Sus scrofa: one gene and its partner. The protein of the gene in region 2 interacts with the protein of the main gene of each other region in a pairwise test. Links are inferred from orthologs where the notes say so. Each region holds a gene or a part of one and is shown on either strand. Other genes may lie near its edges. The genes, in order: NKX3-1 and SPDEF.

Region 1 (4,372 bases), on a different chromosome or scaffold from region 2:
CAACAATTTCACAAGGTTACATACTATATGATGTTTGAGTCTATTTACATAACATTCTCCAGATAGTAAAATTATAGAAATGGAGATCAGATTAGTGGTTACCAGGGAGCTGCAATGGAGAGAAGGGATTTGGGTACACAAATACAAAGAGATAGCACAGAGAGTTCTTTTGTGGTGATGGAACAATTCTGTATCTTGATTGTGGCTTTATAAGGATCTATTCATGTGATAAAATTGCATAGGGCTACACACACATACACCTGAATGCAAGCTTTTAAATGGTGAAAATAAAATAAGGTCTGTAGCCTAGTTAATGGTGCATATTAATGCCAATTTCCAGGGTTTTACATTATACCAAAGTTATATATAATATGTCATCACTGGGGGAAGCTAAGGGTATGGATTTTGCAGCTTCCTGGGAATTTATAACTATTTCAAAAGAAAAAGTTAGAATTTTTTACAAAAAAAAAATGAGAGAAGAAAACCATTTTTGGTGAAAAATTTCCCATTGCACAGGGTGGTTCTCTTTAGCTGTTGCTTTATCCACAGTAACTTTACTCCCACCCCAAACGCACAACATACCAACTTTTTGAAAGGTTTCCAATCAAATGAAAGGTGTCTTAGACTAGGATGTACAGAGAAATAAAAATAGTTCAAAAGAACACTGGTATACTCTTTTTTAAATTCACCAATTAATATTTTAACCCCTTCACTTCATCATATAGGATCTATCTGCCCATCTATATCTTTGTTTCTGAACCAACTGAGGGCAAGTTACACAAATTGTGGGACTTTGCCCTTACATACTTTAGCGTTTATTTCCTAAGAATATTCTTTTACGCAGTCACAGTGTTGTTAGCAACTTCAATAATGTTAGCACTGATTCAATACTTTGTCATCGTCCTATTCCACTTTCATCAATTGCCCCAATAAAGTCCAGTATAGAAGGCAACCTGGGGCCAGATGCTGCACTTAGCTGTCATGTCTTTTCAAAAGCCTTAGATTTAGTAGGTTCAGCTTTGCTATCAATGTCTCCCTGTCACTGGGCACCCAGAATTCTTATCTGTGAAGTGGGATGGTGTTAACTGCCTCAACTATTTCTTTTCGTGAGTAAAGGGACTTTAACAGTCCTCTAAGAGCTAAATGGAGTGTTTCTCTGCTGCATCATGATTCTCCAGAAACAGCGAAACTTATTTTGTGGGTTGGGGCAAGAGGAGACTCGCTTTGGTTTTCTCTTCCAGCCTGAGAAAACGACGTAGCGGGGAGGGAGGCGAGATCGGATTCAGGAGAAGAACGAAAGTGGAAAGGAATCTCTCTGGAAGACCAGGCCGAGACAGTGCTAGACTCCCCTTTTCCCCTCACCTGGAGGGCCCAGCGACCAATCAGCGGCGGGGTTCGGGAGTACGGCCAATGGGAAGGCGGCGCGGCGCCCCCCCCCCCCCCCGGGTTATAAGTGCACCCGGGCCGCGGAAAGTGAAAGTGGTGCGGCCGCAGCCGGCGCAGCCTGGGCGCAGATGCCCGGGCCTCTGCTCAGGCGCGGGTGCTGAGCCGCCAGGATGCTCCGGGCTCCCGAGCTACGGCCGGGGGAGGGGGGGACGGCAGGCTGCAGCCCCCGCGCCGCACCACCCATCCAGTCCAAGCCGCTTACCTCCTTCCTCATCCAGGACATCCTACGGGACCGCACGGAGCAGTGCGGAGGCCAAGCGGGCAGCCCGCAGCCGCAGCCACCGCCGCAGCCCCGGCGCCAGCCAGACCAGAGGCGAGACCCTGAGCCGGAGCCCAAGGGAGGAAGAGGCAGCGCCGGGGCGCCTGAGGACCATAGGAGCGCCCGGCCCCGCGCCGCGCGGAGGGAGGCCGAGCCGCCGGCAGAGACCGAGCCAGGTAAGCTAGCGAGGTTGGGGAGGCCGGTCTGGGCCGGGGTGGGTCCCACAGGAAGGGCAGCCGGCCCGCGGGCTACACCGCATGAGAGCGTGTGCTAGGCGGACCTCCTGGATCTCTGCTGCAGAGATGCGGGAGCCGGTGGCGACAGGCAAAGAGACCTCACCGCCTCCGCTGCGGGCGCGCCTGGGAAATTAATCCTGAACCCCAGCGTCTGGGCGGCGCAGGATTTAGACATGGGCTTGACTCGCCGGGCAAGGTGCTCCCTGCGCCGCTAGGAGACCCAGGCTCAAGGGTGAGCGCACAACACAGCGCCCACCGTGCCCCAGGGTCCCAGGTGGAAAACCCCCACACCGCTCCCAGCCACCGCGGGACCCACAATCGACGCTAGCCTCATGTTACCTCTTGGCAGTTACAATAACAAGTTACTGACAGTAACTTATTAATATTAATAAACTAGGATTTGACCTGCAAAGACTCCCTTTGCTTCCCAGTCCCATGGGCAATAAAACAGTAAATTTAGGAGCCCCTCTGGTCTTGAGGACATGTAACACCGTCGGAACATTTGCAGTAGACTTTCTTTTCTTTCTTTCTTTCTTTTTTTTTTTTTTTTTTGGGTAGTTAAAATTGGTACATAACATTATATTAGTTTCAGGTGCGCAACATAATATTTGATATTTATATACACTACAAAGTGATCACCACAATAAGTCTATGTATCATTACCATTCAATTGACTGCCTTCTTACAAGGCATCCTAATGGCTCATTTAAGAAGTGGGGGGGGGGGTTTAGAGCAAGTGAATGAACTCTCTACCACGGAAGCCCTCTCTTGCCACCAGGGCATTAACACCAGATGCCTCTGGGGCCTGCTTTTCCAGGTATCTTATTTCTCAGAGCCTGCCCTGCCTCCCTTCTCCCTCCTCTCCTCAACACATGGATCCAGAATCCCTATTTAATTCTACTGGACAATGTGGCAGGAAGTTCTACCACTAACCTCTCCTACCTTGGGGTCTTGATGACTCCTGGAAAATGAATACATGGTCTAAGTTGACACTCATGCCCCACTCATAGAGTTCCTGAGTCCTGTGAAAAAAGTGCAATGTATCCAAACTGACAGTGGGCTGTTTGTTCACTCACCAGAAGAGATAAGGGTGGATTGAATTCTATTCTCTTCCCTGCTAACATGTAACGTTTTCCTTCCCATCCCTGCCTCTCCGCTCTCCTTTCCAGATAGGCACCTTGAGACTTATCTGCTGGACTGTGAAAACACTCCAGGCGCCTTGCCGAGCCTGCCCCCAACCCCCAAGCAGCCGCAGAAGCGCTCCCGGGCCGCCTTCTCCCACACTCAGGTCATAGAGTTAGAGAGGAAGTTCAGCCACCAGAAGTATCTGTCGGCCCCCGAAAGGGCTCATCTGGCCAAGAACCTCAAGCTCACGGAGACCCAAGTGAAAATATGGTTCCAAAATAGACGCTATAAAACCAAGCGGAAGCAGCTCACCTCGGACCTGGGGGACCTGGAGAAGCACCCCTCCTTGCCGGCTCTGAAGGAGGAAGGCTTCTCTCGGGCCTCCCTCATCGCCATGCATCACACCTACCCTTACTACCCCTACCTTTACTGCTTGGGAGGCTGGAGCCCAGCTTTCTGGTAACAACGCCGGCTCAGACAACCATGTGTGATCAAAAGCTGCCTTCCCCTGGTGGTCCCTCTGGAAGGCAGAAGGGCCCGGGGTCAGGGAGGACTGGGCCGCAAGAGACCTGCAGACTGAAAGCACTGGAGGTTTGCTTGGAAATCCCAGATTCTTCACTGGTGTGCCAATGAAAGACCTGGGACAGGAAATAACTTAAGAGCCAAATAGGTCCCCCCCCCCACGGGAATGTAGGTCATTTTTGCTTTGAGAGACCCGCTTGAAGTGGGGCGGGATACAGTCAAGTGCTGTTTCCAGCATCACTTGTGGAGGCTGCCCACATCACCTGTGAGAATTCTCCGCCTCCAGCTCCATCCTCTTTTGTGACTGAGCATCCGCTCCTCCTGAAGGGGGTGTGGGGGAGGGGAGGAGAGCTAAGATGAGATGTCACCTCCAGAATTAAACTGAAGGTCAGACGCCTCTCATTGGCCTTGGAGTATGACCACGGGTTGCTCTCCATCCCTGGGGGAGAGCAGGAAGCACAGGGTCCCACAGAGAAGCCTGTGGTGCTCAGGGCAGGTTGGCACAGGATACAGAGATGGGTAGGAGGAGATGAAAATATAAGCTTCTTATTCTTCCTTTTAAAATAATAGGCCAACTGAAGTATTTACAGGGTGGCCCAAGCAGAACAAGAAGAACTCACTGTGGTTTTAAGACAAGCTGTCTAAACAGAAACTTTCCCTCAAGAGGTGGGCTGGGGCCGGAAGAATCTCCCCGTGTCCAAGACAGTGGCTTAAGGAGAAGTCCCCACGCATGCTGCTGCGGGGGGCTCGCATGTCTTTATTAGCAAAAGGACCTTTTTGCCCT
Region 2 (3,193 bases):
GGTGGCTCAACAAGGAGAAAGGTGAGCGGGGCCAGGGGCAGCGGGGGGAGGAGGCTGGGGGGCCAAGGGCCTGCCAGGTGCTGGGCACAGGAGGGTTGGGGGCTGGCTGGGGGAGGGGGGCAGCCCCCGCCTTTGCCCTGAATGCCACATACATACCTCATGGACCAGCCCAGGGTCTGTGTGCCACCTGCCTCCACTTCCATCCCCTGGCCAGGCTCTGCCTGTTGAGGGTCCCCAGCGGCACCCAGTGCTTGGGGGGACATAGCAGAGGCTTAAAACTCTGAGAACCAGACACAGTCTCTACCCTCAAAACTTTAGAGCTCCGCTGCCGAGACCAGTGGTGTCCAGTGAGAAACACAGCGCAAGACCCATAGGCCATATTAGCTTTTCGACAGCCACAATTTAAAAAAAAATTAGTAGGTGAATTTAATTTTAATAATACTTCTATTTAATATTATAAATTCTTATGATTTGAACATATAATCAACATAAAAATTGTTAATGAGATATTTTACTAAATCTTCAAAATCTAGTATAGAGTCTACACTTATAGCGCATCTCAATTAGGACGGGCCAGGAGTTCCCTGGTGGCACACTGGATTAAGGACCTGGCATTGTCACTACTGTGGCTCCGGTCACTGCTACGGCTAGGGTTTAATCCCTGGCCCTGGGGAACTTCTGCATGCCACCATCGCAGCCAAAAGCAAAAATTAGGACTGGCCCCATTTCAAGGGCTCAAGAGCCACCTGTGTCCAGCTGTTAGCCCCGTGGAAGGCACAGGCTGAATGGAGTGTGGATGTATGCTTTGGAAAAGGCTCAGAGCCAAGAAACCTGGGTTCTAGGCCCCATCCTGCCATTAGCAGCTGTGGGTGCCTGGGGCCCAGGCTTCCTAGTTGTGAAATGGACTAGATTTATTCATCTAACAAACCTTTGCTGAGCACCTCCTCTGGTCCCACACTTGCTCAGTGGACCCTTACAGGGAGTTAGAGCATCCGCAGGGTGCGGGGAGGACTGAGCACGCACAGTCTTGTAGGAGAACCAGCAGTGAAATGAGCTGGTGTGCAAAGCGCGTCAGGGCTATGCTCCGGGCCCAGGAGGAGTGACTCTGGGCTGATCGCAGAGCAGGAGAAGGGGGTGGCAGGGGTGAAGAAATTCCTGCACAAGGTCCGATGAGTCTGGGTGTACGTTTGAGACCAAGAGCAAGCTGATTTGCTAGGGAAATGGAGGGAAGGGAGATGGGGAGGCCTGGGTGGTCTGGGAGACCTGCCTGGAGTGGGAGAGTCGACCCGGGCTTTGCCAGGTAGTTTAGAATGAGAACTGGGGGTATTAATGAGGAATCATTTATCCTAAAGGGTACATACACCCTTCGGGCTCTGCTCTAAGCACTTTCTGTAACCACTCAACCACGTGGTAGTCCCTGCAGCCTCCCGACAGGAAAAAGGGGTCTCAGACAGCTTCTAAAGGTAGAAAATGGCAGAGTCAGGCAGGATTCCAACCCAGGCGGGCCTGGCTCCAAATCCACTCTCTTTCCACCGTCTCCTACAAACTAATCCTGCCAGAAAGCTCTGTGAGGGCTGACGGGTCTGAGACTAGCAGAGAGCTCTTTCAGGAAGTGCCAGGGTGAAGGTGGGGGCGGGGATGGCCTTGCCACAGGAGCTGTGTCTGCAGCCCGGAGCCCCTCAGGGCTTCTGTGTAGTATGTGCAAACCCCATGCTTAGGAGTAGAGGCTGGCGAGGGCCCCAAGTAATGCACCAATGTAGGCAGGCTCCCCCTGCACCTAGGGATTTGTGGGTCTATAGCTGGATTTGCCCACGTTTCTGGGAACCCTCACAAGTGGGGAGAAGGTCTGGTGGCCGCCAGGTGATGCTGGCCCCCTGGCTCTCCGAGAGATGGAGCTGCTGGTCTTGGTCTTCCTCCCACCTGCTGCCCGCCTTGCACCGCTGGCTCTCACTGGCCCCCTGCCTACCCACCCTCCCAGGCATCTTCAAAATTGAGGACTCGGCGCAGGTGGCCCGGCTGTGGGGCATCCGCAAGAACCGTCCTGCCATGAACTACGACAAGCTGAGCCGCTCCATCCGCCAGTATTATAGGAAAGGCATCATCCGGAAGCCGGACATCTCCCAGCGCCTGGTCTACCAGTTTGTGCAGCCCATCTGAGGCTGCCGTCGGGCCCGGGCCCACACTCGCCCTTGCCAGGGCCCCCTCCTGCCTGCCCTGCCTTGGCCAGACCCTGAGCTGGGGGACAGGGCAATTCACTGGCATCTGGAGTTCAGAGTCAGAGTGGGATGGTCCCCTGCACCCAGGGGGGCAAGTGAGCTTTCTGGGGCCTGAGGGACCCCAGGTGTGGGTGCTCCTGTGCAGTCCCCTGGAAGACAGAGGGGACCAGGGCTGTCCTCGGTGTTCATGGTTCCCCAAGGAAGACCCTCCCTCCACCCCAGTCTCTGACCCAGAATTTCCAGAGCAGAGCCAACAGAATGGCGGTGACTTAGCCAAGTGCTCTTGGCCACCCATTCTGCCCCGTGCCTGGCATGGTGCTGGCGGACGTCTGCACCCCTGAGTTGGAAAGCCAGGGGCACTCTGGGAACGGATAATAAAGATACTAGAGAACTGACGTGGCCCTGGTGTCCTGCAGTGAGCAAGTGGCACAGCCTGGAGGCCGTCACTGCTCAAAGTCATTGTGGTCACAGGGGCCTGGGGTGGTCCAGGGAGGCTTCCTGGGGGAGGTGGTGTTGCGCTGAGCCTAAAAGGAAAGGGCTGGGTGGATGGTAGAAGCTATGAGAGAGAGGTGGCGAGGCCTCAAGGCCAACGAGGGGCTGGAATGGCCCTCACCCCCCCGACCCGTGTGGACTGAAAGGGTGGGGGAGGGGCTGGGGCTGCAGATGGTCAGTGGTAGGACTGAGCGATGGTGGCCTCTTTCCCACCTCATTCCCTGCTGTAGGGGGTGCTGACCCTCCCGAGAGGGGGCCCAGAGCCCTTGTCCCGCTTGGCCGACCAAGGGGGCCCTGGGAGGGGGCAGCAGAGGGTTTCAGCCCTCCTTGTGGGGCACTGGCTCTTGCAGCAAACAGAGTGGAAACTTGGCTTCCTTGGCTTCCAGCTTGGCTTTGCTGGCACTTTCTCTTGCAAGAAGCCACAGGCCTCATCAGTGCCCCCTGCTGGTAGGCTTGGTCCTACCGCTGAGTCCTGAGAGTGAGGG

The links.
Region 1: the proteins of SPDEF (region 2) and NKX3-1 interact in a two-hybrid assay, tested with the Homo sapiens proteins (2 studies listed by BioGRID). The link is inferred for Sus scrofa from reciprocal best matches to the Homo sapiens genes SPDEF and NKX3-1.

The regions. Positions count from the first base shown.
Region 1 is NC_010456.5:7,784,141-7,788,512, reverse strand, and holds the start of NKX3-1 (homeobox protein Nkx-3.1), read left to right. Parts: upstream 1-1,476; 5' UTR 1,477-1,556; coding exon 1,557-1,881; intron 1,882-3,110; coding exon 3,111-3,529; 3' UTR 3,530-4,372.
Region 2 is NC_010449.5:30,515,343-30,518,535, reverse strand, and holds the end of SPDEF (SAM pointed domain-containing Ets transcription factor), read left to right. Parts: coding exon 1-21; intron 22-1,978; coding exon 1,979-2,157; 3' UTR 2,158-2,611; downstream 2,612-3,193. UniProt on the Homo sapiens protein: May function as an androgen-independent transactivator of the prostate-specific antigen (PSA) promoter. Binds to 5'-GGAT-3' DNA sequences. May play a role in the regulation of the prostate gland and/or prostate cancer development.